Linked DNA regions of Arabidopsis thaliana. The protein of the gene in region 1 interacts with the protein of each later gene in a pairwise test. Each region holds a gene or a part of one and is shown on either strand. Other genes may lie near its edges. The genes, in order: AGL28, AGL36, AGL38 and AGL86.

The links.
Region 2: the proteins of AGL28 (region 1) and AGL36 interact in a two-hybrid assay, tested with the Arabidopsis thaliana proteins (one large-scale study listed by BioGRID).
Region 3: the proteins of AGL28 (region 1) and AGL38 interact in a two-hybrid assay, tested with the Arabidopsis thaliana proteins (one large-scale study listed by BioGRID).
Region 4: the proteins of AGL28 (region 1) and AGL86 interact in a two-hybrid assay, tested with the Arabidopsis thaliana proteins (one large-scale study listed by BioGRID).

Annotation. Positions count from the first base shown.
Region 1 is NC_003070.9:188,887-197,421, forward strand, and holds AGL28 (AGAMOUS-like 28), read right to left. Parts: upstream 4,785-8,535; 5' UTR 4,777-4,784; coding exon 4,465-4,776; intron 4,186-4,464; coding exon 3,754-4,185; 3' UTR 3,748-3,753; downstream 1-3,747. Other genes in the region: AN (NAD(P)-binding Rossmann-fold superfamily protein), read left to right, coding at 1-434, 531-578, 676-789, 879-950; ASG4 (Homeodomain-like superfamily protein), read left to right, coding at 1,710-1,942, 2,055-2,112, 2,252-2,372, 2,455-2,589, 2,693-2,806, 2,894-3,003, 3,081-3,173; AT1G01540 (Protein kinase superfamily protein), read left to right, coding at 7,094-7,656, 8,229-8,333, 8,414-8,535. UniProt on the Arabidopsis thaliana protein: Probable transcription factor that may function as a floral promoter operating upstream of known floral activators in the autonomous pathway.
Region 2 is NC_003076.8:9,340,354-9,348,976, forward strand, and holds AGL36 (AGAMOUS-like 36), read left to right. Parts: upstream 1-3,431; coding exon 3,432-4,532; 3' UTR 4,533-4,658; downstream 4,659-8,623. Other genes in the region: AT5G26640 (anaphase-promoting complex subunit 11 RING-H2 finger protein), read right to left, coding at 7,488-7,542, 7,688-7,821. UniProt on the Arabidopsis thaliana protein: Probable transcription factor.
Region 3 is NC_003070.9:24,250,090-24,258,351, reverse strand, and holds AGL38 (AGAMOUS-like 38), read right to left. Parts: upstream 3,424-8,262; coding exon 2,587-3,423; 3' UTR 2,495-2,586; downstream 1-2,494. Other genes in the region: XTH17 (xyloglucan endotransglucosylase/hydrolase 17), read right to left, coding at 33-405, 501-694, 809-1,156; AT1G65295 (ubiquitin carboxyl-terminal hydrolase), read right to left, coding at 6,298-6,561, 6,702-6,785; mtACP2 (mitochondrial acyl carrier protein 2), read left to right, coding at 7,986-8,189. UniProt on the Arabidopsis thaliana protein: Probable transcription factor involved in the development of gametophytes and seeds.
Region 4 is NC_003070.9:11,315,016-11,323,362, forward strand, and holds AGL86 (AGAMOUS-like 86), read right to left. Parts: upstream 4,533-8,347; coding exon 3,513-4,532; downstream 1-3,512. Other genes in the region: TRM9 (RNA-binding (RRM/RBD/RNP motifs) family protein), read right to left, coding at 1-184; AT1G31620 (uncharacterized protein), read left to right, coding at 1,926-1,992, 2,154-2,247, 2,441-2,537, 2,802-2,879; AGL92 (AGAMOUS-like 92), read right to left, coding at 7,677-7,813, 7,904-8,347. UniProt on the Arabidopsis thaliana protein: Probable transcription factor.

The DNA.
Region 1 (8,535 bases):
GACGTAGCAGATCCGGTAAGAAAGCCAAAAAGAGACATTCACAGCAAAAATACATGCAAAAAACGGATGGTTCCTCAGGGTTAAATGAAGAAAGTACTTCACGAAGAGATGATATTGCTATGAGTGACACAGAAGAAGTATTAAGTTCCAGTTCTAGATGTGCTTCTCCTGAAGATTCCAGAAGTAGGAAAACACCTCTTGAAGTAATGCAAGAGTCTTCCCCAAATCAGCTTGTAATGTCAAGTAAGAAGTTCATTGGAAAGTCAAGTGAGCTACTGAAAGATGGATATGTAGTAGCCTTGTATGCGAAAGACCTCTCGGGCCTCCACGTTTCCAGGCAAAGAACGAAAAACGGTGGCTGGTTCCTCGATACTTTGTCCAATGTATCCAAACGAGATCCTGCTGCACAATTCATTATCGCATACAGAAACAAGGTAAACCTTTTTCTCTCTCTTACTTTTCATTTATCTTGCTTACAATGCCAGATAGACCATTATAAATTGGTTTTGGTGCATGAACTTGTTTTCCAGGACACTGTTGGTCTGAGATCATTTGCTGCTGGTGGGAAGTTACTGCAGGTAGCTCTTACATTAGAGAGTGTTACTTCCATTGGTAACTCAATGTTGCTCTTATGGAATCTAAAAGTGGTTGTGTCATGGGTGTGTGTGTGTGCAGATCAATAGAAGAATGGAGTTTGTGTTTGCTAGCCATAGTTTTGACGTGTGGGAGAGTTGGAGTCTAGAAGGTTCTCTGGACGAATGTCGGCTTGTTAACTGCAGGAATTCCTCTGTAAGTCTCTGTCCTTACAGAAAATGGCCCGAAATTGAAAAACCCTACTTCTTGGAAAACAGAAATAATTTGTGTAATGAATGTTGCAGGCGGTGTTGGACGTTCGTGTGGAGATATTGGCAATGGTAGGAGACGATGGTATCACACGTTGGATCGATTAAAAAGAAAAACAGAGTCTCTCCATTTGTGAGTTTCTCTCTTTTAATTACTTTTGTTACTTTAACATCCTTAGGATTCACAGACGAAAAACAGAGACACCCAATTTTTGTGTTTCGAGACTGTGTCGTGTGTTGTGTAGTTGGTATCAACCAACTTATATCTGTAATCATTGTTTCTTTTTATTTATTCTCGGTTTGCAGAAACATCCGATGAGCTTGTCTTAGAGGGACGTTTGTTGTTGTTTTCTGGGTCTGGTCGTGATGAACTCGAAAGCATTGTGTGTTTGGTTAGTAGTTTGAAATAGGTGTGTGTATTGTATTTGTATATGCTGCGTTTGTGTTTTAGAGATCATCGTACATAAAACACATCATCGTACATAACTAAAATTTGAGCTAAACTACAAAAGAAAGTAACCTTCATTTTTAGTCGAACCAGGCCCCAGCTAGGCAGCTATCTCGTAAATAAGATTGCTGGCTTACGATCGTATTCCACGTGGCAATTTATGTGCCGTGGATTTAAATTTGTACGTGGCATGAGTGTTAGGAGAATGTCCACATGGCTTGTAGTTGTTAGTCCCACGCTCTGAACCAGAGCAACCGGCTCCTTACACGTGTTCGGCTTAAATCCATTTTTCGAATGAGATTACACTTCTAACCTTGTCTCCCTCTCCCGCTTATACCACCACCACTCTCACACAAGTCTCTCAAGTCACAAACTCTGTTTCAAACCAAAAGGGAACTTTGTGTGTGTTGTCGAGTTTTATGGTGACTGTAAACCCTAGCCAAGCTCATTGTTTGCCTATGAAAATGAGTCTACCGGGTTTCAATACTCTTCCCCACACGGCAACAACGATACCGGTTTCCATACGGAGCAATAGGACGATGTCGTTTTTTGAGGATCCAACAAAGAAGGTTAGAAAGCCTTACACTATCACCAAATCTAGAGAGAACTGGACGGAGCAAGAACACGACAAGTTCCTTGAAGCCCTTCATCTGTATGTTGACACGGATTTCACTTCTCTGCCTTCATTTATCTGATTAATGATATATAGAATCTTTGAGATTTGTTCTTCTTCTTCTGATATGATCATGTCTATTTGATTGCAGATTTGACCGGGATTGGAAGAAAATAAAGGCCTTTGTTGGATCAAAAACAGTGATACAGGTAATCAATCAAACATATGCATTCCATACTTTTGTCTGAAGTTACATATAAGTAATTTTATGAACTCTGTTCTTTGGGGTGGAATTGGAGATATAAGTTCTATGTATGTTGGATAGTAACTAGAATATTGGTTTTGTAGATACGAAGCCACGCACAGAAGTACTTTCTCAAAGTTCAGAAGAATGGGACTAAAGAACATCTCCCACCTCCTCGACCAAAGAGGAAAGCCAATCACCCATATCCACAAAAAGCTCCTAAATGTGGCAACCTTAAACCTTTTATCTTTCTACTTCCGCTTTTGTTACTTTATCTCATTTTCTCATGGTTATGTTTTTGATGCAGTTACTCTTTCTTCTTCAAACGCATTATTTCAACATGACTACTTATACAACACTAATTCACATCCGGTGATTAGCACCACCCGTAAGCATGGATTAGTGCATTGCGATGTTAGTATACCAAGTTCTGTTATCAAAGGTAAAATATGTGCTTAAGTTTGCTGTGTGGACTAATGTAATAATCTGAAGATATTGCTTGTTTGAGTTGTTAATAATGTGGGGTAATGAATTTGTGATTGTAGAGGAATTTGGTGTCTCAGAGAACTGTTGCAGCACTAGTAGTAGTAGAGATAAGCAGAGGACTAGAATCGTTACAGAGACAAATGACCAAGAAAGTTGTGGAAAGCCACATAGAGGTAACAATTTTGCTTGAGATTCCTGACTTTGTGATATTCATATACTGATTATGAGTTTGTTTGTTTGATGTTGGTTTTTCAATTCAGTGGCGCCAAATTTCGCTGAAGTTTACAATTTTATAGGAAGTGTGTTTGATCCTAAAACAACAGGTCATGTCAAGAGATTAAAGGAAATGGATCCAATAAATCTTGAGACGGTATGAAAACCAATAACTCTGCACATGAACATGTCTTGATTTGAAAACTAACGTTTACACGGTTTTTTGTTCAACAGGTTCTCTTACTGATGAAAAATTTATCTGTAAACCTGACGAGTCCCGAGTTTGATGAACAAGTAAGAGCTAGTCGACTCTTTGTTACATTTTGACTCTTGAGAATATTGAAGAGTAAACAAATTTTCTCTGTTTATTACAGCGGAAGTTGATATCATCTTACAACGCCAGTTAGAACTAAACGATAGAGAGAAGTCTCTAATGGTAGTCTCATGGGATATGAATGAATGAACCGGTTGTACATATAAGTCTCAATAGTTTAGAACGTCTTAGAAGACAGATAAAGCCTGTGTAGAAAGTCACTAGCTTTTTTGTAATATTCAGTTGTTGCTTAGGTTTTTATACGGAATGGACTAATGACATAACTAGTTTTGAAAATTACTTCAGATAAAGCCTGTGTAGAAAGTCACTAGCTTTTTTGTAATATTCAGTTGTTGCTTAGGTTTTTATACGGAATGGACTAATGACATAATATGAAACTTCATATAGCTTACTCATATTCCACAAGAAAATGATATAAAGCTACAAGACAAAGTATAACGAAAAGAAACAAGAAACTAGTTGACTCGAGACTTAATTAAAAGCCCGACAACAACAACAACAACAAACAAAAACAAAACAAAAAGCAGAACAAACTATTGGAGACTTAAAAAGTCACACAACGAGAGAGATAGACTAATAGTAACGAGCCCAATACTGAGGATGGACTTGTTTAACCTCCTGGTTTTGGAGTTGGTAACTGTTGTACCCAGCTGGTGTGCGATTCATAACATTAAATCCAAACGGCAGTGTTGGAGCAGAAGTAGAGTTTCCGTTTTGATCAAAGAAACCATGGTTTGTGGAGATATTACCACCACTAACAGCTGCTGGAGCAGCAACATTGCTAGAACTTCCAACATAGAAGTTTAGGTTTCTATGATGAAGTTGAGCGACTTTTTCATCAACTTCCTTCTTCAAAGCTTCAAGATCACATTTCATGGAAGTTGATTGAGCTAAGTTGAGTTCTGTTGGAGAGTTCCTCCACCACTTCTCAGCGTCCTTGTTCTCTCTTTCATTTTGGACTATTGACTGCTTGGTCTCTTGTTCTTTTTCTTTTTCAGCCATCACCTAAGATAAAATTGTATTTTAAACAATTAATTTCATGAATAATGAATGTGTAAAGAAAATCCGTGAATCCATGACTATGACTTAAACAAAAATTGAACCCACCAAAATTTTCATTCTTAATTTACTTTGTTGAGGAAATAAATATGCAAAGGAGGTTTACCATTTCTTTTACAAATCAAAAACAAATTGTGAAACACTTATATAATAATTTTTTATCTAAATTGAAAAATAAAAGAGAGAAGAAATAAAGATTAGATAATGCCAAAACTTAAAACTTACCTCAGTTAAAGACTCATTGAGCATTTGAATACGGAGCTTTGTGCGGCTTTCAGCAAAGTTTGTGTTGTTGTGTCTTATAACACGCCCTAAAGAGTGGTCAAGTAACTTGTTAACATTTGGATGACCAAAAGAGTATGCTTTTCCCGAGGGTGAAAACACGATTATCGCAATTTCCGCGTCACATAAGGTGCAAAGTTCACTGCCTTTTTTGAAAAGACCAGATCTTCTTTTTGAAAACGTAACTTGAAGGTTTGATTCGTTGGTCATTTTTACCAACTCTATTTTTCTACGACCAAGATTCTTTCTCGCCATTTTCGAGATGTTTTGAACAGAAAAAGAAAAGCGAGTTGATTATATTAGAGATAATAGGTATTTGTATTTATAGACTAAATTTTACAAAATATGTTTTGAGCATTGAAAGAAAATATTTTTTTCTATAGTGATTTATAAGAAACAAAATTATGAATTACCACTCTAGGAGTATATATTGGTTTACAAATTTCGTCAATAAAAGGTATACAATATTCTATTTTATCTCCAACATTATCATTTTTTAAAGTTTACAGCCTGTCAATTTTTTAAAATATGGGAAGGATATCCACAATTTTCTTAAAAAATATTTTCCATGTGTTTATTTTCCACTATTTTTCTATAATCAATATCCTTTTTGATCTTTTATATTTATTTTAAGTGTTCAAATTTTTTATATAAAATTCATATAGTGTATATATGAAATATTATGTCCAACTTACTTTTGTTTTTATAGAGCAAATTGACAAAATAATATGATTGAAAGTTGATAAATGACATGATTGAAATTTTATGTCCGACTTTCCAAGATTTTATTTAAGTAAATAGTTGTTTTGATATTTTAATTGATCGCTGACTTTTCAAAAAAAAAGTTGTGATAATTAAATTAGATTTAATATGTGATACACAATTTGTTATATCATCTCTGAATATAGTATACTTTTACACAATTTGTTTTGGGCCGTGATTAATATAGCCCATGATCGTTACCTAATGGGCTATGTTTCTCTGCCTCTAATTGCTTGTTATACATGATGATGATATATTGATAATCTATAACCTATATACCTCTCCTGAAAAACGAATTTTTAAAAATGTATACACTTCTCATGTTTCTTGTTATATCTTTTTCCTTCTTGTTACAATTTATCGGTGGGAATCAAATCTGATTGGGTTCCTTTTTTTGGTCGGTAATGGTATTCAATAGTCAAGTATGTAAAAGATTCTAGCATATAGATTACAAGTCTTAAGCCCAACAAGGAACCAAACTAAAACTGATTAGGGAAAACTAAGTAAGATTCTATAAGCTAGAGTTTGTACAAAAACAAATTCTAGCCCAGGTAATGAAATATCCAAATGCAAAAGACAACATTTATTAGCTCAGAATCTACTTTTAAAAAAGCCCAAATACCACATATCATAAGCTTGCACTTCCAAACGACTCTAAAGTCTAAAGTCTAAACCAACCATCGCCGCTGATCATTGACTTATTGGCATACTACAAAATTTACTTGTTTGGAGCAATAATGGGTTTTCTCTTTTAGCCCCACCTAAACCCTTTTTAGGAGGAAACCTAGATTATACGTGGCCACACTAAATATTATTCTCTCATTAATTGCTCTACTTTTAAGAGCCAACCAAACTTTTTGAAGACACAAATATTATGAAATAGTAATACATTTGACCTCCGAAGTTTCAACGAATGATCTACACAATCCATCGTGTCAAAGATACAATTTTTTTATCCACCATTAAAACTGTAACAATACAACATTACTCATAACATTGACTTTCAGGATAATCAGGCTCTTCATCACCTTGACTTGCAGTTTCAGTCTTTTTATCTACTTACTGCATATATGATATGAGAAATCCGATTTGTGTGTTAATGTGACATAAACAAAAAAAAATGTTCTTCCTATATATATAACAAATATTTTTTATGAACAAACCAATAATAATGTGTATCAGAAGCAAACAAATGATTTTTTGGTGCACTCATGTTCCCATAACAAAAGTGATTAGTTTCTCATAAAGTAAACTCAATAATTATTCCATGAGTATGTTTATATCCATATAAAATTTGCAATTAAATAATCAAACGTCAAGGTTCAATTATAGTCAAAACAAGAACGAAAAACTAACCAATGTGTAATCCACAGATTGGTTAATTGCACTGAACCGTACCTTATCATACCACCCCAACGGCTATCGACATCGATTTATTACCAAAAAACTCCTCAAAACTATATAAAAGACTCTACTATCTTCCACTTTCCATAAAAGGGTAAAATAGACATTTCGGGTAACCTTCTCTCACCGTCACCACACATGCAATTACACTCAGACAGGAACTCAAAAAGACAGCTCATTCAATTACATCAACACAGATCACTCCAAAGCCTTTCTCTTTAAATTCGTTATCGTTTTTTTTATTTTATCAATTTAATCTTTTTATTTGTTTTGTTCTTCCTCGATTCAACACTCGATGCTGTGACAAAGCCCAGATTTTGGCCGGAAAGTTTTGTGTGTTTCCGGCGAAGAATGCGAAGAAACCGGAAGAATCTGTAACGGAATCTAAGCTAAAAGTTAAAGTACGATGTCGGTGTACGACGCTGCTTTCCTTAATACAGAGCTTTCGAAACCGACATCGATTTTTGGTCTCCGGCTATGGGTCGTGATCGGAATCTTACTTGGATCTCTAATTGTCATCGCACTCTTTCTTCTCTCCCTCTGCTTAACTTCTCGCCGGAAAAATCGAAAGCCGAGAGCCGATTTCGCCTCCGCCGCCATCGCTACACCGCCGATTTCAAAGGAGATTAAAGAGATCGTTCCGGCGCAGAATCAGTCTGTTCCGGCGGAGATCCAGGTCGATATCGGGAAGATCGAGCATCGAGTGGTGTTTTCAGATCGAGTGTCGAGTGGTGAGAGTAGAGGAACAGCGAGTGCAAGTGAAACGGCGTCGTATTCCGGTAGCGGGAATTGTGGGCCGGAGGTGTCGCATCTTGGATGGGGCCGATGGTATACTCTGAGAGAGCTTGAAGCGGCCACGAATGGGCTTTGTGAAGAGAATGTAATCGGAGAAGGTGGTTACGGGATTGTGTATCGTGGCATTTTAACTGATGGAACCAAAGTCGCCGTCAAGAACTTGCTTAACAATAGGTACTTCCAAATCTTCAATTTTGATTCTAAAGATTGGTCCTTTTACTCTGTTTCTCAATTTGAGTTTTAGGTATTCTTTGATTTTGTATTGGTTTCATTCTAAATATTCATCCTTTACTCAACTTCTAGATAAGGGATTTAGGTATTCTCAAATTTCCGATTTGATTCCTTTACTCGTTTCTAGATTGGGGTTTTAGGAATTACCAGTTGGGGGTTTTGCAATTTGCGTAATCAAAGAATTTTATTTGTTGTATTGCTTGGTATTGAAGTTTGTCTCTGTTTCTCTACCTCGTCATGTAATGTGCTTAGATCCATTAAGTAAATGCTTGTGGATATTTATGTAGATGGTTAAGAGTGATCGTGATCAGAGTCCTTCTCTTATTTAACTGCATTGCCTGTGAGTTGTGGTCCTGAAGGTTGTTGTTATTATTGAATTCTATGTATGTATAGATTATGTCATTGGTCTCATGTGGTTTTTATGGGTAACGTCTTTACTAATAATAGCACTATGCTTCTGGATTTTGATCTATGTGATCTGTAACATTTCTAGTTGGTGTGTCTTTGATTGCCAGGGGTCAAGCAGAGAAGGAATTCAAAGTAGAAGTGGAAGTCATTGGGCGAGTACGACACAAGAATCTTGTTAGGCTTTTAGGGTATTGCGTGGAAGGTGCATACAGGTATATATACCGCTGCTCGTATCTCTTTTCCGGTGTTACAAAAGCGATGTCGTGACCTAATGCTGGGTTCGTTACTATAGGATGCTCGTGTATGACTTTGTCGACAATGGTAATTTGGAGCAATGGATTCACGGTGATGTTGGCGATGTCAGCCCGCTAACTTGGGATATACGTATGAATATTATACTGGGGATGGCCAAAG
Region 2 (8,623 bases), on another chromosome or scaffold:
CGGGTTTACGTTTTTTTGGCGAGAAAATTATGGGATTACGTTTCTGCGGGAAAATCACGGGTTTACGTTTTTGGCGGGAAAATCACGGGTTTACGTTTTTTGGCAGAAAATTACAGGTTTACGTTTTTGGCGGGAAAATTACGAGTTTACGTTTTTGGCGGGAAAATTACGGGTTTACGTTTTTGGCGAGAAAATTACGGGTTTTACGTTTTTGACGGGAAAATCACGGGTTTTCATTTTTGGCGGGAAAATCACAGGTTTACGTTTTTGGTGGGAAAATCACGGGTTTATGTTTTTGGTGGGAAAATCACGGGTTTACGTTTTTGGCGGGAAAATCACGGATTTACGTTTTTGTCGGGAAAATTACGGATTTCTGTTTTTTGGTGGATAAATTACGAGTTTACGTCTTCTCAATTTCATCTCTTGTATATTTAAGAAATTTGGAAAAATATTGATTTTCTTAAATTGGTTTAGATGTGTTGGTTAAACTTAAATTGATATTGGTTTAGAGATTTTATTTGGTTTAATTCAATTTTACAAAATTTGATGGGTTAATTGGGTAAACCATTGAAACCATTAACCATTACAACCCAACTCATTTTACTCATCAAACCAATTGACCCAATAACTCATTTGACCCATCAACTCATTTGAGTCAAAAATTTCAACTAATTAGGAATCATGGGTTGAGTTGAGTTGAGTTGACCCATGAATTCTGACCCATTTTGACACCCCTAATCATAACGCTCGAAGTTAAAAACATAGACCATGTCTTCATTCTCATTTTATCAACTCTATAACGTTGCTTATAAAGTCATAATAGCCTAATAATCATCATATTAAAGTAAAGAATTTTAATTATATTTCTTATAATATAATAGTCTTCTAGGTCACTATTCACAATCTTAATTATTTTAGAACAAATAATTGTTTGTTAATAAGTTAAGAAAACACCAAAAATTCATATATGTACTTCTAAATTATTTATTTAATACATCTAAACTTGGGTTCGCAAAAATCGCAACTCTTAAAAAACAGAATTCGTTCTTTCAAATAGTTTTCAATTTGACATTTACACAAATCTCTTTTCAAGCGGATAACAAACCTCTACCAAAACTTTTCTACAATCTAAGATATTATATTATTGAAATTGTATGCTTTTATCTTGATAATTAATAAAAGCATTCCAAAATTCTGAAATGTGGGTTCCAAAGCTATGATTGGATCATATTTTCTTACCAATTCTCTCATGTCTACATAAAGCTATTTATTTTAGGGATATTAATAAGATCAAAAATAGGGTAATGCCAGCTAAATTACTCTTCATTATTAGCTGGTAAAATTTATTTCTAAAAGTGCAATGAAAAATATATAATATCGGGTCAATGCCCCAAAAGATATAATATCCACATGATTTTATAAATTATAATTTTACAAATAAAAAAAAAGACAAAAATCATATTTATGTATTAAACTCTTGATTTTACCCAAATTATGCATATATTTTCTAAATAAAAATAATTTTCATAAATAATTTTTTATATGTCATTATTAATAAATAAATACATGTAGTCATATTAATGTATTAAACTCTTGATTTTACCCTTATATGTAGTCCATTTTTAAAAATACTCTTTCTCTTGAGCAAAACAAACAAATTACCCACATCTAATGAGAAACATGTAATTTATGAACTGAAATTTTCCCGCCGAATTTATTTTTTCCCTGACAAAAAAAAATTCTACCAAAATATTTTTTTTTCCGCCAAATTTTTTTCCCGCCATTTTTTTTTCTCTGTAACAAATGTTTTTCCAGCTAAAAACATGCATTTAAAAATCTTTGTAAAGGTTTTTAAAAGCTTTGTAAATTTGTTAAAAACCCTTGTAAATCATTTTAAAACCTATTAAAATCTTTATAAAAATTTTAAATATATATGTAAATACTTTAAAAACCCGTTTTAAAACCTTTTGTTTTACATTTTAAAACCTTTTACAATAATTTTAAAAGATTTACAAGAGTGTTTAAAAGATTTACAAGGATTTTAAAAACATTTGTAAATGTTGTAAAAATCCTTGTTAAATCCTTTAAAACCCTTGAAAACTATTTAAAAACCATATAAAAATCTTTTAAAAACCCTTAATAATTTTTGAACCATTTTAAACTCTTATGAACCCCTTACAAAATGTTTTAAAAACCCTTGTAAACCATTAAAAATCTTTTAAAATCTCATGTAAACCCTTTAATAATTTTTGAACCATTTTAAAGTTCTAGAAAATTATTTTAAAAATCTTTGTTAATCTTTAAAAACACATGTAAATCTTTTAAAACCCTTTTCAAATCTTTTAAAATCACTTGTAAATCTTTTAAAACCCTATAAAAATCTTTTAAAATCCTTTGTAAATCTTTTTAAAACCTTTTACACTTTATAAAAATCTCTTAAAATCCCTTATAAATATTTTAAAACCCTTTTACACATTTTAAAAATCTATTAAAATCCATTGTAAATCTATTTCCTGCGAAATTTGTTTTTTGCGGGAAAAATCTTTTTTAAAACAAATATTATGGCAGAAAATGTTTTTTTGAAATTTTTTGGCGGAAAATTTTTTTCAGAATATTATAGGCGGGAAAAATCAATATTTCATTTTTTTACCTAAAACATATTTTAAATAGGGGTAAATAGTCATTAAAAATTAAAAAAGGGTATAAATGAAAATAACAAATAAGAAAGGGCAATACTGAAAAGGGATTGTGTTGAAAGGGCATTCATACCAATTATTCAAAGTTTTTGGCGTTTCTGTGAGATGTACTTTGCATATTTTCCAAGTTGTTTGCCCATTCTAAAAATTTATTTGTATGATTCAGAGTACATCTTTAAATTACTGTAGATAACAAACTTTCTGAAATTTACTTTAGATAACAAACTTTAGAGTAATTTCTAGCTTACCACAATTCTATATACATTGACAATATATTACTGTATTTTAAAAGTACAATCACTTAAAACTATTGCAAAACTTCATATTTTAAGAACAAAGTAAGCTAGAAATTATTCTTAGTAAAAAGAAACAATGAGAGTAAGAGAAATTAATTCGCCAAAATAAAAACAAAACTTAGAAATACAAAATATTATATTACATGCCCCCTCGTATTACATGGATAGATTTTTTTCTTTTTTTTGTCATCAGATATTATTTAGGATCAGACGTACCAAACTTTGGATAAGAAAAAATATTTTTATATAGATAATAATGAATTACCTGGTCAATTAATTGATAAGAGATTTCCTGGATGTTATTTAGAATTAATTAGTCCACCAAAGTGATAAGAATCCTAGTGTCTATAGAATCACCTTTCTTTGCTATATAAACATCCTTTGAGCAAACAAATTAAACAAACCACACAAAACAAAAAAAAAAAACAAATTGATGGGGATGAAGAAGGTGAAGCTATCTTTGATAGCTAATGAAAGATCAAGGAAAACATCCTTCATAAAGAGGAAAGACGGGATTTTTAAGAAACTCCACGAGTTGTCAACTCTGTGTGGTGTCCAAGCTTGTGCTCTCATCTACAGTCCATTCATACCGGTTCCAGAGTCATGGCCGTCAAGGGAAGGTGCTAAAAAGGTGGCTTCAAGGTTTCTGGAGATGCCGCCGACAGCCCGAACCAAGAAGATGATGGATCAAGAGACTTACCTTATGGAGAGGATTACCAAAGCAAAAGAGCAACTAAAGAACCTGGCTGCTGAGAACCGAGAGTTACAGGTTAGACGATTTATGTTTGATTGTGTTGAAGGCAAAATGTCCCAGTATCATTATGATGCAAAAGACCTTCAAGATTTGCAATCTTGTATAAATCTATATCTCGATCAGCTTAACGGAAGGATCGAGTCCATTAAAGAAAATGGTGAGTCGTTGTTGTCTTCCGTCTCTCCTTTTCCTACTAGAATTGGTGTTGACGAAATTGGTGATGAGTCATTTTCCGACTCTCCTATTCATGCTACAACTGGGGTTGTAGATACTCTTAATGCTACCAATCCTCATGTTCTTACGGGCGATATGACTCCTTTTCTTGATGCGGACGCAACTGCGGTAACTGCTTCCAGTAGATTTTTTGATCATATTCCATATGAAAATATGAATATGAGTCAAAATCTGCATGAACCGTTTCAACACCTTGTTCCTACTAACGTTTGTGATTTTTTTCAAAATCAGAATATGAATCAGGTTCAATACCAGGCTCCTAATAATCTGTTTAATCAGATTCAACGAGAATTCTACAACATAAATTTGAATCTGAATTTGAATCTGAATTCGAATCAGTATCTGAATCAACAACAATCATTCATGAATCCGATGGTGGAACAACATATGAATCATGTTGGAGGGCGTGAAAGCATTCCTTTCGTGGACGGAAACTGCTACAACTACCATCAACTACCATCCAATCAACTACCAGCCGTTGATCATGCTTCCACCAGTTACATGCCTTCCACCACCGGTGTCTATGATCCTTACATCAACAATAATCTCTAATCACAAAAGAGGGAGAAGAACTAGTCTAAGTGTTCAATTGTTTGTATTTGTGTTTTCTTCATTTCGAAAGACAAAAACTAATGTTGTTTATTAATAATGGTTAAAGGATCTCTTTTTAACTTAATTATGTATTTTGATTATTAAGTAATGTTTTGCCCCCAAAAAAAGATTATTAAGTAATGTATTTGCTCACCGTAGTGTGGGAAACTTTAATTGTAGAATTTTATTTCGAAAATTTAAGATGTGACTGGTACAATATTTAGACGGAAATTTTCAATTGAATTCTTTTAGGACCCATACATAGAGAATAATTGTTTTCCCCAGCAATTTAAAGTAAGAACTATTATTCTTTGAATCAATTATCGATTTGCCATTTTTTGGGATGGTATCTGTGGATTTTGTCCTTTTCTGAATAGTTTGTAGATTTTGCCTTTTTCACACTACGAAAATATGATTTAACATGTGTTTTATTCGTTATGTTTTGGTTTAGTCGGTTGTGCTTGTTCTTAGGATTTAATATTTTGTATAAACTACGTATTTTTACCAAAAAAATCGGAAATACATACTTTTTTTAGTGTTAGAAAATGGCATATCCATAAGATTTTAGTAAAAATTACAATTTCAAAAAAATTCTATGAAAAATGGCAAAAGCAACAATAATCTCTTATTCTTTTCGAAAAAAATTATTTGATAACAAAAAAAAAAGAACTACTCTTATTCAATGTTAAAAAAATCGTTAGGCGCTAGTTAGGCTTTCGATAGAAGCCTTGAGCCTATATCGATCAGTGCCTAGGTCAATTTTTTAAACATTGTTCCCATTCTTTTGGGCTCAAAAAAATTAGGTAGAAAATTTGTTCTTCCAAATTTTGCACCAGTTAGACTCTAAGGGGGTGTTATTGGTTCCTAATTTTCATGACTTTCCATGACTTTATTTTGTGAAGAAAAATGTAGAAAGAAAAAAAGTGTGGGTAGTTTTTAGTCTTTCCATTATAACAAAAATGTATAACTATATAAGATAATACTAGAGAGCTGTGTAAATCACCTAAATACTGTTTTAGGAAAAAAATATCTTTTGATAAGAAAAAACTTGCAAAAAATACATCTACACACCATCACAGCATTGATTACAGTATATATGTGTATGTGATAATATTCAGCATAAAATCTAACTGTTTTCTTAATGTCAAAACAAATATATCATTAGTCTTTTATATAGCCTGCTCCTGCATATTGTGAAGATTTAGTTTTTCTGGGTTTTCATTACATGTTTGTTTGCTTGTGCAAATATTAATCATCTCGTGTTATTTTAAATTATGTTAAAAAATCGAGGGTAATAATTTGATAAATTTTTGTTTGTATTTTGTTATAAAATTATTAGTAAATTTAATTAGGTTTAGTTGCAAATAGTGCTATGATTTATGGTCTCATTATTTTTATTTTTTCATTTTTTTTGTCCACAAGATCATTTTCATAAAAATGAAAAGCCCATTGAGTTATATAGATGATGAAAAAAGCCCAAACCACCAGCGTTTACAACTTCAATTTAAATTGAAGTCTATTTATCCTACTAAAATTTAAAGATAAGGACGAGATTAAAAAAGTGTTACGTGCGGTATACGTGTCCACACGCGAGAAGGAGATGAGATGACACAAACGTAGCTAGCCAAATCCACGATCAGCGCAGCTCCGCCGCCAGACTTCAGATCCACCACCGCTCCTCTTCTACAGCGCTGCCCGTTGCTAAAGTCGAGAGAACCCCATCGAATCCATCTTGAAGTAGATCGAGAAAAAACAAATCTTCATAATCTCAATCTGCTCCTATAGTAGGAAGCTTCGCCTTTGGCCGTAATAGGCCTATATCCATGGATAAACATGTGGAGATATTACTCTCGTATATATATAAGAAGAGTTGAGCTGACGGTGAACAAAGAGGATCTAACCAATAGCTGCGGCGATTTGAGTTTATGTATGTAGAAAGAAGAGAACAAAACAGATCCGATCTTAGTTGGAATTTTATTGTCCGAAACAAATACAGAGATGAACAACAACAAGTCACTAAACCTAAGCTATAGATCTAAGATATGATTTGGAAGAGACAAAACAAAGAAATCTATTTTACAATCTGATCAATGTCATAAAAAGAAGCTTTCCCTCTCTAAAAGATATGGCAGAGGTAAGGGAGAGGAGCGTGATTTAAGTACTCATTAAAAAACTCGGTGAGTGGGCTAATCGATCCTACACTCACCCTAAAGAGATTAGCCAAGTGATTAAGGCCCAAAACACCTCATAATATCCAAAAATAATAATTTGGTAAAGTTAACTATCACACCTTTCCTCTGACCACTTGGGCCGAAACTCAAATGGCTACGTTAAATTAAGAACTAATTATATAAATTTGGTACAACTCAAGATTTTATTTTTACAGTATGTAAACTCTAAGCATGCGGCACTTGGTTATTTGGGTGTAGTAATAATTATATAAATTAATACTCGATAGATTAAAATCTTTGATCCCTAATAAGTGTTTAAGATCATTTAATTAATAAATTAATAACTGTATAAATATTGAAATATCATAATTTCGATATTATTAATTTATAGAGGTTAAGCTTTATTAATTTCTAATTTTTTACTGTTATAGATTCACTAATTTTTCTTAAAAGGAGCATGTATATTCTCAAAATTAGTCGGATGTTAAAACGAAAAAAATTGAAATTGGGTGCTAAATATTAAAAAGAACAATATATCCATGAAACAAATTATCTTTCTTTTCTTTAGCCACATGTCATGAACCAAAATCTCTATTACATTTTTGTTGCTATTTGTAGTTGCTTCCATTAATATTCATACAAAGGTCGAACTTAACTCTGATTAATGATTTATTACATCTCTATAAAGTGGATACAAAGCTAGATGTCTAATCAAGGCGCAATATAAAATCTCTCTCTTCCCACTCTAGTTACTCTTTATATTTCCATCTTCTACGACACATAGGGCAATGGCCATAGCTCTGATACCATGTAATTGTATGAATCTCCGTGAATGGAAAGTTATGTATTGAACATATATATATAGGGTTACATGAGATAAGCATAAATCTGTTCATAAGATATTAGATATATACAAATATAAGATTCTCATATATCTAATCTAACAGGCAATAATCCCCGAGGAGTTTACTTAGAGGGCAATCATCCTCAGGGAGTTTGCAGTCAGGACAAGAAGCATCAAATGGCATCCGACATAACCCACATGTCTCATCTTGAGCATCCCATGTACCCCATGCCATCTAAAGTTTCTCACAATGTAATAGTTTTGGTGTATGAACCGTAAGAGAATCCAACAAAGGATTATTGAAATAGAAAATAGTCAAAATGCTATAATTTGAAATAGTTCATTAGAGCTTTATTGTGCAAAAATATAAAAAGAGGGAAAATAACTTAGATTGTCACCAAAACAAAGAGATTGTGGTTAATATTTCATAAAATGGATGAACGAGAGTTGTTTACATCTTTTAGACACATAACAATCCTATTTATATCACTTTCCAAAGAAACCCTAACACACATAGGCTTACAATAACACACATTAGATTTGTTTTGGATTTGTGTTTAGCTTTTAATTCCCTTGAATGGTCTTACATAAATTAAAATTGCATGTAATACTGAGAGTCAATGAATTTACTCTGTTTTTGAGTTTGAAAACATTGTAACACTGAGAGTCCATGAAAAACCTGTGTTTGAAAAAACAAATACTAATTGCAGGCGCATTGATCAACTGATCTTATTCTGCCCTATATGAATCAGTTGAGAGTTGATAAGAAGAATCCTCATAAGAAACTACTAGAAAGTCATCAACATCACTAACCAAAATACTCTTGGGCTTTCCAAGTCCAATCTAACTTCCACATTAATATGATATTGTCCGTTTTGGGCTAAGTGGCTAAACCCTCACAATTTGTTTATTGGGCTCCTAAGGTTGAATAGTGGAATATAGATTTAAACAACTTCTTCAACAGGTTCAAGAAGATTTCTTTTAAAGTTTTAGATCTAAACAAATATGTGGAGACAACAAACAAAAATCCAACGTAC
Region 3 (8,262 bases), about 24 Mb from region 1:
GTAACATATTCATGTATCAAAGAATCAAGAATTTAAGTGCACTCGGCAGGAACTCCTCGAGGAAACCTTCTTTTATCGGTGCAATAGTTGTAGATCATGTATTTACTTTGCACACCTTTCATTCTTGTCTGGCCGTTCGAATCGAGTTTTTGAGTGAACCATGGGGAATTCGCGGAACAAGATGATTTTCCATTAGCCCATACACATCCATCGACATTGTAGTTTCTATAAAAAGCAGTAAAAGGAGCTTTTGACCAATCTGTTTTCTCTAATCCTCCTCTTGTTGCCCAATGCTCGGCTTCCCAAAGACTCGCGTAGAGTCTCATTGGTTGTCTAGTTGGGAACGGGACTCCAATCGCCTCGGGGTTCTTGAACTCTCTAATAGGAATTCCATCAACCGTAAAACTGTAAGAGGGGCAAAAACAGAAGAGAACGTAAGTTCATGAGCGCATAGCCTCAAAACATATAAGATTATACAAAGTATCAAAGGTTACGCTTACATAATCCTTTGAGGATTCCATGTGATGCAATAAGTGTGAAAGTTAACGGTTGGGTCGAACCATAGATGAAATTGTTGTTCTTTGTCTCCTGTGCCTTTTGTGTAAACATTAGTATGGAGAGTATATGGATGACCACTTATGTTTCCCAAGAACTCGAAATCGATCTCATCCCACGTAGTTCCCGGAGATTTTAGCTACACAAAGTCATCATAAACACAAACATACTCAATTAATGTAGGCCTAAATATATGTACTATAGGAATAGCAAAAGATGACAAAAAACGGTTTGAAAATTGTATGTAACTTACATAGAATGTTGTCACTGTTCCAGCTGAATTACCAGGAACAAGTTTCATTTGAACCTCGGCTTTGCCATAGAGAAACTCCTGGTTAGACTGAAAACCGGATCCAGAGGATTTGTCGAGCGAGAGAGAAAGAAGTTTTCCATCTCTGTCGTGAATCTTTCCGCGGCCATCACCCCAATGTATCTGAACGTCTTTGTGGAAGCTACCCGCATAGACATGCACAGATTGTGCCGCAAGAAGAAACAGAAGTAAGAACGCAAAGCTTGTACCACAAGAAAGCTTCATTTTGTTCTCACAGGAGTATTGATATCTCAAATGTATTGTTTGATGGACAATCGAGGTAAGTGACATTAGTATATATAGTGTTTGGAAATGTTAAAAGAAAGAGAGAAGGAAGTTTCATAGGTTTGATTATTGATCGTGGGCTGTATTCTAGTTGGCTCATTCGACCTCTTGTTGGTTGTTACAAATTGAAGCCAATAAAATATAATTTCATTACTCGTTTATTGTTACAAAACAGAGAAAATAATGTATATAGACATTCGTATATCACATGCTGGTCCCGCATTGAGATCATTAGATGGAGCCCATATATCGCTATTTTCAACTTTTATAATTTGTAAAGTACATTACTCTAAGAATATCTTTTGGTATTACAATTATTTGAAAAATATAAGAAATTCAATTGGTATAAAAACATGGTTATAAACTTTCTATTGGTAAAAATAATAAAAAAAGAGTTATAAGTGATAAAATGTGGTGCTAAGATAACTCACAAGAGTTCTAAAATAGTTTCAGTATTTGACATCATAGGAAGGTTATTTTGAACACAAAGTTCAATAGTTAAAATTTGCTAAGAACTACTGAATTCGTATATGTTTAAGCACCTATAAAACTAATTAGATATGTTTCTTTTTCTTTATACTGTTTTAAATATTAAATTAATGTAAATATTTGAATACTGTATTATCCTAAATATATTAATTCATTGTATTTTTTCTTTTAGTCATTTTTCTTAAAATGTAATTAAAAACAAATAAATAGGGCTCCTAGATGGTTAAGCCAAAACAATGTTGACCTTCCATTGCTTGATCTGTCCAAAATGGAGAGTGTGGATAGTTCTGGCCGTTTAAATGTTAAGCCATAACATTACGTTCTATCCAACAAATACTACAAACAAAAAAGTAGTTGCATGAAAAAAATTGAATGCTATTAATTTGAATCACTTGTTTACAATCGATACAAGAATTATAGTTTAACATCAATTGCAATAATCGATGTCGTATTAGTTTATGTGGCATCAGTTCACTAAAATTGATACAAATCTAAATCCATTTGCATCACTTGATACAAATATACGATTTTAAATTATTTAGAAAGTGATATAAAATTTAAATCAATAACAACCAATACTAATTAAATATTAAAAAAATTGTTTACCAAGTGATGTAATTGTTTACTCAATTTGTCTATGTCTCACATTGCTCCTATGGGAAAATGAGGCTTCATAGTTTTTTTTATTTAGTGACCTTAGTTTTTGATGGTGTAAAATAAATGTAAAGTGTAATAAACAACTTAAAGAGAAAGTTTTTGATGGTGTTAAAAAAAATGTAAAGTTTAATAAGGAACTTAAGAAAGGGTAAATAAGATAAGTGTGGACGCAAGAATTGTCCAACAATTAATAATAATAAAAAAGACATCACATATAAGTTTTGTCTTATAAAATGGAGAAAACACAAATGCAAACGATCAAACACTTCACTCGAAATACATCCCTTAGACTAGAGATCATTGGTGATGTTAGGAGCACAAACATCAGTGGGGGCAGTGGTGACGGTAGCGAGACAATCGATTTCGGGGTGGTAGTTGTTGTTGTCCATGCAAGGAATGCCCTCGTCCTCTCCATCATTAAGATTTTGATTCAAATCCAAAACCATACTTTGATTCGAATCCTTATTCATATTCATATTAAAACCATGAATTTTCTTTGGAATCTGATCATAAAAATCATAAAGAGCCTGATATTGGAATTGAACCGGCTTTTGCTGATTTTGATTATGATATTGAAACATAGGACCATCAAATCCGACTGGTGCAGCTGCATTCGCAACAATAGGAAGAGGTAAAGATGAAGAAGACTCACCGTTCTCAATAAGGATCTCAATCCTGCGAGTAAGACCATTAAGATACTTATCAATATATAAACTCAAATCTTGAAGATCCCTTCCATCAAGATTATACACATTCGTCTCCCCTTTGAGACAACCAAACATTAACTCCCGAATCTGAGAATTATGGTTCTCATCACGTAGCTTCTGCAGCTGCTCTTTTTCTTTGGCGATCCTTTGACTTATAAAAGTCTCTTGATCCACCATCTTCTTGGTCCGGTCCAACACCGACAACTCCATAAATTTCGACACCACGTCTTCAACGCCTTCCCTTGACGGCCAAGCCTCCGGGATCGAGTTGAACGGACTATAGACGACCGCACATGCTTCAACACCACATAGAGTGACTAGCTCGGTTAGTTTCTTCGTCATCCCTTTCTTCCTTTTGGTGAATGTTGTTTTCCTCGATACACTGTTTTCTATTAACGATAACTTCATCTTTCTCTTCATATCTATTGTTTTTGTTATATGTGTTTTGCTTTGTTAGCATGAGGACGATTGTTTATATACTAGATAAAATGTGTTTCTTATTGCTTTGCTGGACTATTTTCAATTTTTATTTTCAGGATATGGTATTACTTTCACCCTTACGTGTTGGCATGTGATTGATGGTAAAGTGATAATCATTTATCTTTATAGACAGCCCATATAGATATTTTACCTTTTGGGGGGCATAAAACCAGACATTTAGGGGGAAAATTGTATCATATATGTAATGTGATTTATTTTTTATATAGAAAGTCCATTTAAAGGAAAATATATATTTCAAAGGTAATTTAAGATATTTTCTTCTCTATACATTTTTCTATTTGTTATTATTTTTATTTTAATATAATTAATATAAAATGCCTAAAATTGAAACTTACAGTTACAGGTAATAATTAGTTGGATAGAAAGTAAGATTATGTCTAAGCATCTAAACAGCCAGAATCACCCACACTTTCCATTTTGGGTAAATAAGTCAATGGAATGTCAAAAATTGTTTTGGCCTAGCTATCTAGGTGTCCAATTATTCATTTTAATAAAAAATGATTAAAATGAAACATATAAGGAAATAATATATTTGATATAATTTTGTATATTTACATTAATTAAATATACAAAAATTATAGAGAAAAGAAAAACATATCCAATTAATTAGTTTTCTTGGCGGTAAATTATCTAGGAATGTCTAGTTAGCTTTAGCAAATTATGAATATTGGTATAAGATATCTATATCTAAGACTATACCATATTTTAAACTCTTGAATTATGTGAGACAACCTTAGATTTGTCACAATTTAGTAGTTGTTCTAATTAGCCGCTCCATTGAGATGGAGGAGTCTTACGAGTTCACATTAATTCGGATCAGTTTTACTAAACAAACTATTATCCACAAAAAGCTACGGAAAATTTCACAAATTAGGTCTCGTTATTCTAATCTTGACTAACATCTTATTCTTTTTCTGTCTTACAAAGATTTAAGTATTAACGTTAAATAAAAATGGTGATAAAGAATCTCATCGCCGGAGACTACATTGGGAAACATATCTCATACCTCATGATGCATCCCATCCATTTTGAGTCCAAAACCTAACTTCCGAATAAGAGGTTTATTTGGGAAACAATTTCAAGTTCTATCAAAATCTCAGTAGGTACACGTGTTAAGGCTTGTAATGTTTGGAAAATGTCATCTCCACCGTAACTCATCCACCGCAAATTCAAACTCCGCTGTAGACTCATGGCTTCATCTAGACACCTCTGCACACGGATTCCCCCTTTTGCAAATCTCTAGCAATAAATTGATTGATACTTACTCTTCTTCTCCACGTAATCCCATGAAGCAAGGGTATTACGCAGCAAATAATTATAACTTGTTTTAGAGTCATCATTTTCAAAAATGTGACTGTAGTTTAGTGGTTAGTCCCAAACATTTTACTATACAGTTTTGAATCTAATTTAGACGAAAATTTTGTAATTGTTTTAAAAAACAGTTTTTTGTTATTGGGCCAAAATCTTTTTGCTGTAGGCACTCAAATTTGGGCCCTGATTATGGCTTTGATGTGGTGAGGTGAGAAAAGTGTTTAACCAGTCCGGGGTTAGAGGTAAACCCAAAAGATCACCGCTCAAGATTGACCCGACGTGTAAGTGTATGGGTTACATTGAGTTAATCAGTGTTCTTAATCTACCTTTTTATTGTAAGAACAGAAAAACTATACCGTTCTCCGACATTTCAATCACCAATAGACTTGGTGTACTATAGACATTAGACAGCAATGTAGAGTTTAATAAACATGACCTGTGAATATAAATGCAAATTGTCCGATTTAATAAAAGCCAATCAATCACGGGGAAACTGGTATAGTCAACACTCTTAACCCACACACACATATTGACTAAATTTATCACCAAGACAACTTTATGATGTCCCATGTGTGAATAATAAATAACAATTAGTAATTAATTTACAGATCTTGCAGGTTACTTACGCTAACGCAATAGAGAGAGTTGGAACAAACATTTGACATAAAACATCTCTTACAATAATAACAGTGTCAGATAAATAAACATATTCAAAGATATTGTCTAGTCTCTGCACTTGAAGATGAATAATTGCTTTTTTACTCTTTTTCCTCTATTTTAAACTAAAACACTTAAAGATCTTATCAGATCAGAATAAGGCACTAAACTTGATCCATTTTCTTAACATGTCACTCATTACAAAGACTTAACTTTAACAGCTTCACTATCACCACCATCACCATCAATACCATCATCATCATCATATTAAATACTCTTCCAATTGCCAGCTTAACCAAACAATGACTCTTTTCCAAAATATGCTAAATTCTAACTTTTAACTTTCTTAAAACACATAAGAAACAAAATGATGAAGTAAACAAGAGAATGAAAAAAAAAAAAAAAGAGAGAGAGAAAGACAGATAGAGAGAATTGATTGAACAGAGAAGAAGAAACAAATCTTGCTTGAAGTGTGAACAAGATTCTCAAAACAAAAAAAACCCTAGAAAATTATGAAAAAATGGCAAATGCAAAAAGACAATTAATTAATGAGGATGATGATGTTGCTGAGATAGTAGGTAATGAAATTTAATGAAGACTGAAAAATAAATTATAGACAAAAAATAAGTAGAAGACTCAAACCAAGAACAGATATTCTTCTTTTTTTCCTCCCTTTCACACTTGAAGATGAATCAAGATTTAGATTCACTTGTTTCTCTCCCCTGGAATCAAAACATTCATAACCAAACATCAAAACATGAACTGAGCAGAAACTAAGAACAGAGAAGAATAAGAAACTTACAAATTACAATGAAGTAGAAGATCTCAGATATGGCAACCAAAGCAATTGCAAGTTTTGGGAGTGAAAGAACAGTAACCAAAGGGTCTATTAGGGATATTGCAGTTAATAGCATAGCAACAAGGAGAAGGCAAGCAAAGACCTTTAGCACCACCACAACAAGTACAAACTGAACATATCTGAAAACTTCCAAGTTTCCTTCTTGTTTCATTCATTACCATAAACTTCTCCTCCCCCAATGGCACCATCATCATCTCATTATCTCCTTCAGCTGGTAATACCTCATTTGCCTAAACAAAATTCCAATCAAAACCCATAAAGCTCAAAACTTTGAATTCAGGTTATGTTAAAGGTTTGATTTTTAACAAAATTAGAAATACCCAGATGTGAAAGAAGAGAACTTTAGAGGGATCTAAGTAAAGAAACTAACCTGGTGACTGGAACTGATGAAGATTGAGAAGAGAAGAAGCAACAAGAAGACAATAGAGATCTTCGATTCTTCTAAAGTTCTCATTTTTTTTTTTTTTGGTTTGAAATTTTATTTTCTTTGTTGGGTTTGGTTTATTATGTGGTTAGGGATTTTGGGTAAAGTAGCAAATGCTACTTCTCTCTCGAGCTACTTTTTTCAATTATTTTGGTTATAACATTTATGATTTTTGTAGAGAAATGTTTTTGTTTTTTTTATTGAGGGAAGAAATAATAAGTGGGGTCTTTAATTTTACTATTCTTTAATTTCTCCACTTCATTACCACACCAATATCGAATCAACTGATAGAGAAAACCATACCAATTGTAATAAAACAGATTCTTCTTCTTCTTTTCGAAGGATCTGATTCTTTTGGTGACAAATATAATTTCAATAACGTTGAGTGTTTTTTTCAATTAGCATTTAGAATAGTGAAGTGGAGAAGATACCAGGCAGCAAAATTTATAACCCATACATAAGAGCTTATTTGGTCAATGACAAGAATTTAAAAGTGTGTCGTACATGTAGTATATAGTCTTTGAGTTCATAGTTTCAGTAAATTTCTTTGAGTTCATATCTCTGGTACTGAAATCTGATAACAAATAAAATAAATGAGTCATCTCACAATATCTAAAGGAATAATCTAGAAAATGCGTTGCCAAAACGTGGTTTTGAAATTGTCCACAAATCTGAAATCTTTGTAAAGTAGTAATCTTCAATATCCAATATATACCGGAAGAAAAATTACGAGAATACTATTACCGTAATTAGTAAATCAAAAAGATTTTCATATATTCTATTAATAAACTTAATACAAAGAAGATCAAGGTATATATCTTTAGGTGCAAGACAAGCAAAAGTAAATCTACTTGCAACTCTCATTAATAATACTATGTAAAGTTGATGGTGTAAGAGATAAAAAAAACGTTTGCTTTGAAGAAGATAACAAGGAAATCTCAAAATTGCTTAATAGTACTAAATTAAAATTTGAAACCTTCAATTGGTTGGGAGCTAGATTCTGAAAGCACAAATTTGAAGAATGCCAAGTCAAACGGATTAAACGGGACTTGTGAAACTGATACTACTAGATAAAATTCTTGACAAAGCCCAAGCGTTAGAGGGCTCAGATAGGCCCACTTTACAAATGTAACGACGTCGTTTTGCGTATCTCAAAGTAAGGAAATCTCTCCTTCGAGAGCAAAGAGAAAGAGCTTGCTAGGTTTTTCTCTTACTCTGCAATACACAGCAATGGCGGCGAGAGGTGCTATGCTTCGATACCTGAGAGTCAACGTCAATCCAACAATTCAAAACCCTAGAGAATGTGTACTTCCTTTCTCCATTCTCCTTCGTCGTTTCTCCGAGGAAGTTAGAGGCTCTTTCCTTGACAAATCTGAGGTCACAGATCGAGTTCTCTCTGTCGTCAAAAACTTCCAAAAAGTTGATCCTTCTAAGGTAAATTCTTCTTCGATCCGACCCATTTCTTCATTTTCGATTGTATTACGATGAAATTGTGTGATCCGTGGTG
Region 4 (8,347 bases), about 11 Mb from region 1:
AAAAAACGATGACGTTTACTTGAGTTAGAAGTGTCAATTGGGCTGTCCAAAGTCCAATGGTCATGTCCACTTGGAACATTTTTTTCATGGGTTCTAATGGTTGGTCCTTAATGGACAATGGTCTGAAAATTTGTCCAAGACCATTAAGGACCATTGTCCAATGGTCAGCCCATGGCCAGCCCATACAATGATGTTTATATACAATGCATTTTCACACAATCTCGTTAAAAGCTCTATTTATAACACCATAACATCAACATGAAATGAAGTAATCAACAGTGACAACTCAAACATGCATCTAAGACTCTCTATATGCACCTACAAGTAAAGAAAAGAGACTACAATGGCTACAGGGAGAATGATTTAACAGAGAAACCCACACAAAAAAAAAGATGACTTGGTGAACTAGAGTAAGAAGATGACCTCCCACGTCTCCCACAGACTCAAAACTTACATACAATTCACAAAGTCGAGTAGTTACATAGATTCTAACCACAGAGACTTTGTTCCTAAAGGGTTCAAAAGAAGGAGAAAGGTTTCAAATTTACATTACCATGAAAAAGGAATTGGGAGACTGAACAAGACGTTTGAGCTTGTGCTTTCTCTTCTCAAGCTCAGCTGGAGCCTACAAACAAAACAGATTCAAGCAAAAACAAAATTAGCTTAGAACTTTTGTTGTATCATAAATGGAAAAACCTCAAAACTGTAGTTAAATAAATGTATCTTGCATGAATAACTTATTTTCCCTATCTTGTATGTTCACAGACAAATTCAAACAAGTTTAAAGGAATGTTTTTAGTTATCCACATGATGTATGATTCTCAGAATCTTGAAAGTGATCTAACTTATTGGACTTCAGTAGTAGTGGCAGCAACAATTTCGTGTTAGTCTTTTTCATTCCCACAACAATAAGAGTATTATTGAATTAGTCATCACTTAATTGATTTCCAACGTTTGGTCAAACAAGTGACGGATTGTGGTGAGAAACGATTACTTAATTGTGGAAATTAGCTATAAGAAATGTTCATAAACATTAGCGAACACACACTTAGCTCCATACATAAACACCAAGCTCTACACAATTAATTACAAGCTCTACCAAAACCAAACTCTACATATTCTGTGAGGCATTTCATCAAACACATGGTTGGCATCAAAGGAAGGGAGAGAGAGAATAACAAAGAATAGCAAATAAGTGAAATTTGGACAAACCCACAAGCTGAAATCAAAGAAAGCATATGCAGAATCACAATTAAGGAATAGCAAAGAACAAAGCGATGAAATTGCATCAGGACTTAGAGAACAAAATCGATGAGACTAACATATGAACGCATATTTCAGAGAGAACTTATTCTAATCAACGGATTCATATTCTAATAGAACTAACCGGAGTAGGAGTCGAAAGAGAGGTCGAAGCGAGAGAGAGAGAGAGAGAGAGCTTCGTCGCCGAGAGAGAACAAAGTCGACGTGTGAGAGAGAAGAGAAGAAAACTGATGTGTTGAGAAAATTGATGGGCCAACCATAGACCGTATGGGTTAGCCCATTATACCCGTGGACAAAATTGGTCTTTAGACCATATGACCCGTTTTAGTTACGAACATTATGGATTGGGTTTAGCCCATGGTTAGATGACCATTTGACAGTTCTAACTTGAGTTATGGGCCTCATTAGGCCCATTTGATATTCACATGGGCTGATTAATATATTAAAAGAAAAAAAAAAGAAATTTGAGAAAGGAATAGCTAGGCCTAGGGCTTCGTCAGGAATCTCCATGAAACGCAAGGACGTACAGATTTTGTAGCAGCCGAAGTAAGTTAGGTCCGATATCGCTACAGTATCTAGATTGCCTGCGAAGTCTGTAATGAAGAGCCACAAAAACTAAAGTCATTTGCCGAATCAAATCTAGGGTTTGTTTAGGAGGCGCCATGAAATGTAACGAGCGAGATTGTAATAACGATAACGGGGAGGAAGATGAGAAAGACACAAACACAAGTAGGTTAGACTTAGATTCGCTCCCTCTTGATCTAAATATGGTTGTACTAGCTAGATTGCCTGCCAAGTCTCTTATGAAGTTTTGATTCGTGTCAAAGATGTGGCAATCCATCATCCGAAGCCGAGGGTTCATTGATTACTTCTTCTCTATGTCCTCGAAGCAATCGCGGTTAAATTACCTGCTACCACTGCTTTGATCGTGGGATACGATCCTATTGATGATCAACACAAAGCATTATCCTTGAAGAGAAAAAGGTATGATATCTAGTGGTCATCTGGAGAACAAGTTATGAACATTGGGAGATGGTGAAGTATGGATACACATTAAAGATACCCCTTTACCTTATAGGGCGGGTCATCAAGCGAGTGTATTCATCAACGGTTTTCTCTACTAAGCTGCTTTCTTAACCAAAACTAAAGAGACAGTTTTGGTTTGTTTTCATTTTAGAACTGAGAAACTGAGTTTTATCAATGCACTTAAGGGTTTTGTGCAATGGGGAAGTGAAGCAGTATTCATTGAATACAAAGGGAAGCTTGCTTCCATTGTGAGCGACCATTATGATCGGTTTCCATAGTTTCGATTTATGGATACTAGAAGACGTCGAGAAACATGAATGGTCAAAGCAAACATGTGTGTTTCCCTCCTCTTTTTGGGATGATGTTGAGTGTGCTAAAATGTCATTTCCAGACACCAACAAGGCTGGTGAGATCATTATTGCCCCAAAGAGGTTGTCACTCAATTTTCGACCCTTCTACATTTTCTACTACAATGTTGAAACAAAAAACATAAGAAGAGTTAAAGCTCCTAGGATTTGGAGACAGTGAAGAGTTTAGGCGCTCTTATGGATTCGAAAGAACCTCCGGCTCCCGTGAATCTCTTGTTCTGATCGCACATAACCACACGTCCAGAGTGTTGGCTTTTTTAAGGATCCTAGAATTAATTTAACTTGATTCGTAGGATCCTAATGTAAGAGATAACTGAAAACTTGCCTTTTATTTTAGTTTCATTATTTTATCATGTTGATTTTTCAAATTTTCAACACTAAACAAGCTACAGTTTGTATTGTTAATCTTTTGGGTTTGCTGAGACGTGTGTTCATTATTTATGTTCATGTTTTTACTTCTTTAGTGTGTTCATTTGCTCGCTATATAGGTAGGTGTGGGAAGTAAATAAATTATGGATTGAGAAAGAGATATACAGAGTATTGATGTTTTTGCGAATAATATATCCAAAGTAAGATTTTCTATGAAACAAAATATATTTGATTTTAGCAGATCTATTTAGTTATGTATTTTAAGAACAAAAAACAAAGTAAAAACAAATTTATGACCAAACTTCTTCAAATATAATTGAAATATCCGGCTCTACGGCGCAGAAATACATTACCCAATACATAAAAATATAACTGACTTAAAGGTAAAACCTTCAACTCTTACAACAATTAACTGAAAAGAAAAGACATTATTAGAGATTGGTCTTTTGAAATGGACAAAACACAAATGCAAACTACTGAAACACATCACACAACGGTGGTGTTGGTGGTGGTGGTGGTGGTGGCGTTGTTGGAAGGCATGTGACCGGTGGTAGTAAGACCAACGGTTGGTGGTTGGTGGTAGTTGTAGTAGTTTCCGTTCATGAAAGGGATGTGTGCATGCTCTGCAGCATAACCCACTTGTTCATAAGGATATTCCATCAACATCTCCATGAATGGATCATCTTGAAACGGATACTGATGATTTGGATCCAAACTGAGATTATCATAGATTCCATGTTGGATCTGATGATTAAAATCCACAGGAGCTTGGTATTGAATATTATCACTAAAAGCAGTAGGGATATAGGGCTGAATCGGCTCATACTGATTCTGAGCCATAGGAGGACCGGCACCCGCAACAGCAAGAGGAGCCGCACCCACACCCGCAACAGCAAGAGGACTCGCACCCGCCCCCGCAACAGCAAGAGGAGCCGCACCCGCACCCGCAACAACAAGAGGAGCAGCACCCGCACCCGCACCCGCACCCGCAACTGAAGTATGAAGCGGAGGAGGAAAGGAAGAAGAAGACGCACCATTGTTTGTAAGGAGCATGACACTTGAATTAAGCTGATTGATATAGTGATCAATATAAAGACTTAAATCTTGAAGGTCCCTTGCACCATACTGATGCTCACTCATCTTACCTTCAACACAATCAAACATAAATTGCCTAAGCTGAGATTCTCGGTTTTCACGACGTAGACTCTCCAGTTTCTTTGTTTCTTTGGTAATTTTGTCCTGCAAGTAGGTCTCATGACTCATCATCAGCTTGGATTGTTCTGTCGCCGGCCTCTCCATAAACATGGAAACCGCCTCTTGAACACCTTCGGTTGACGGCCACACCACTGGATTCTCGTACGGACTGGAGATTACCGCACATGCTTTGACGCCGCAGAGAGTTGTTAGCTCATGGAGTTTGTTCGTTATCCCTCCCTTCCTCTTCCTGAATGTGGTTCTCCTTGAGGTCTTATTAGCTATGAGTGATAACTTAATTTTCGACCTCATTATCTTTGTTTTTCTTTTCTTTGGTGTGTGTTTTGTTTACTTTCTTGGCCCAAGACTGTCTTGTTTATATAGAAATGAAAATTGTGCTTTTACACAGTACGTGGCTTTTCACGTTGCTGGACTCATTAGATTTGTTTTGTGTTTACTGTCTCATTAATTGACGAGGCCACTAATTAAAGCTATGTCTAAGAATAGATTTTCTTTTCTTTTTACTAAGAATAGTTTATCTTCCTATATTACTCTCACTTTTCTTTTAAGAGTAATTTAAAGTTTTGTTTATAAACTATGAAATTTAGTAATAGTTTGAAGTGTTTTTTTTTCTTCTTTTTAAATAGAGTACTCCATCTTCAATTTACATGTAAAATCATGAATATATACAAGCTCAAAAGAGTTGTTTATTTATAGAAAAAAAATGAAAACAATATAACGTGAGTCTTACGAAATATTTAGAAAGCACGAAAGTTTTTGAAAACAATGTAACATGAATCTCACGAAATATGTGTTCTATTTCTAAGAAAATCTTTAAACTACCTATATACATTAAAGGAGAACATACCAAGAAGTTTGTAAACCAATATAATAAGATAATAAAATATCATTAAAATTTATATTAATTAATTTAGTAAAAATATTTGATACTTACAATAATAACAAATGAAAATATATAATAGTAGAGTATTAGAGAAAAATATATTTTTTTAAATCTCAGATTTGGTTATATGAACTTTTTTAATAAATATATTAAAAGAACATTTGTCATGGCCTGCAGGTCCACCTGATTTTTTTTAATCATTAAGTTGATTCTAATTAAAAGGAAATTTGGATAAAATAACTGTTTTATACATTAATAGATGGATTTCTTTCCTCTTTTGGCTCAGTAATAAATTAGTTTAGAGATAATTTGTTAAATCATGCATATATTATACCTTTTGGAGAATACTTTTTCTTTTATTGGGTTAGAATATTTCATTGCATTGCCAGCTAATTATAAGCTGTAAATAGGGAAATTAAAGATTTTAGACTACGTATAGAAAACTTCCAGTTGTTTTTACATACCCAAAGAAATATCTAAACTTTAAAGTATTAATATTTAAATATAGTTTAATTATATATTAATTTTTGGTTTAAAAGCAAAAAATGAACCAATTAAAAAAAGACAAGTGTAATATACCCAAAGTTCAAGTTAATATACCAAAAGTTCTTATTTAAGAACCTTTCTCTTATTTCTCTCATACTTTTTTTGTGTGGTATGATTATAATGAGAGAGAATCCAAAAAAAATGGAGGTCTAACAATAACCAAAAAATAAGAAAAACAAGAATGCACATCGTTAATTAGACTTTGTTTGACTGGTTCTCTTCTTATCAATTACATTTACAAAATGTAGAAATTTCTCTAAAATAAATAGCATATTTATTGATTTTTGATTAAATGTTTTCAAATAGTTATAAAAATACTATAGAGTAGAAGATATTACATGAGAGAATGGTAAATAATTCAATCCAGTAGTAGTTTAATTTCCATTCTCTTTAAATGCTAAATTTTATTTCAAGCTCACCGTATATTTTTGGCTCAGATAATAAATAACTTTCATCTGCCATAAAACACTAATTTTCATGTTTATTTATATGTTTAGTTAGGGGCGACTTAAGCTACTTATAGTTATAGGTCATGTTCAAAAGTTTAACTATAGATATCTTAAATAAGGTCCATATATATACATAAGAACTTTTTTTGGTAATCACGATCCGTTTAATCTATGTATTTAATTTACACATACTAAAACAATTCAAGGTATAGTCGATCTTATCTGAACGTTGTAGTAAGCATAACTGGTCACCAAAAATATGTTCTTAGTTGAAGTACACACTTGAATCCAACCCAAAAAACCTCGTCAGTGTTGGGATGATACACGAAGTGAAGCCTATAGTTGAAATAGAACGCTAGGAAGCCATTTTTCTAAAAAAAAATCTTAATGAATACTTAGTAGGTGATAGGTACAGATAGAGATACATTAAGGCTTGTGTTAATTTCAAATTACCTTAGGCCCATAATATATGCATATCCTAAAATATACCTTATTTTCTTAATATCTCAGCTTTTTATTTAAAATTTTCAGAAGAGCCAAATCAATTTAACCATATTCAATCTTAATACAGTCTTTAAAACGGTTTTTAAAGGAGAAGCTTCAGGTGGCACGCATCGAACTAGGAAGACCCTCTAAATCAAGGAGAAGTATCAGAAGGCACTTTACTTAAACACCACAGTCTACTGCTTCTACTTGGAGTTGTATTCACTGAATTACCTGCCTTAGCAACTGCAAACAAAAAATAGAAAACCAGTCTCTGTCCCATCGGAGAGGCCTTACACGGGACCAAAGCAAAGGCCTTTGGGGTGCTCTTTAGGGTCACATGAGCTAAGGATGCTACTCGGTGGTGCAAGGGAGTTATAACTCTTTCAAGATTTCTCCCATTCTTGAAAGAATCCAGAAAGCAAGATTCGCAAGTGTTCGGGAATATGCTTCAAGAAGCCCATGCATGACCAATGTCCTGAAAACAAAGAAGAAGGATTTAATATCGACAAATAATTGTATTGTAAAGTATGACATGTTTCAGAACATAAACTAAGAAAGATGTAATTAGTTCTGTTTATGTTTACATTGCCATATTGGATCTTTGTGGCATTAAGAAACGAGTGAGGAAGATTAGAGTGTTTGGATTTGATCTGATTTCTAAGCGCTTCTTTTCGGTTCAAGAGTGATTCACTGCGACCAATTTCAACAATGGTTCTCCTCGTATATATACTCAATGGTACTTCTCCTCCTATATATACAACTTCCGTCCTGAACTCTCTTCAAAATATTTAATCATATAAGTATTTAACCATAATGAAGGCTTGAAAAGTATTGATGTTTTTTGGAAACAAAATCCTATCTGATTTTGGCAGATCTATTTAGTTATGCATTTTAAGAACAAAAAGCTCGTAAAAAATAATTTGTGACCAAACAGAAATGACTTCATTGAAATAGAACTGACTTAAAGGTAAAACCTTCAACTCTTACAACAACTAATTGAAAAGGAAAAGCATAATTAAATACTGGTCTTTTAAAACAAACAAAACACAAAATGCACACTACTGAAACACATCACACATTGTTGTTGTTGTTGTTGTTGGTGGTGGTGGTGGTGGTGGAAGGCATGTGACCGGTGGAAGTAAGACCAACGGTTGGTGGCTGGTGGTAGTTGTAGTAGTTTCCGTCCATGAAAGGGATGTGTGCATGCTCTCCAACATAACCCGCTTATTCATAAGGATATTCTGTCAACATATTCATGAATGGATCATTTTGAAACGGATACTGATTTGGATCCAAACTCATATTCTGGTTCAAATTCATATCATAGTTTCCTTGTTGAATCTGATGATTAAAATCAACAGGAGCTTGGTATTGAACCGGCTCCTGTTGATTTTGATTCAAATTCATATTCTCAAACTGAAAATGATCACTAAAACCAGTAGGGACATAGGGCTGAACCGGCTCATACTGATTCTGATTCATAGGAAGACCGGCACCTGCAACACCAAGAGCTTGGTAGTGAACCGGCTCTTGTTGATTTTGATACAAATTCATATGCTGATATTGAACATTATCACTAAAAACAGTAGGGATATAAGGCTGAACCGGCTCATACTGCAACTGACTCATAGGAAGACCGCCACCCGCGACAGCAAGACTCTGGTAGTGAACGGGCTCATACTGATTCTGAGTCATAGGAAGACCGGCACCCGCAACAGCAAGAGCCTGGTAATGAACCGGCT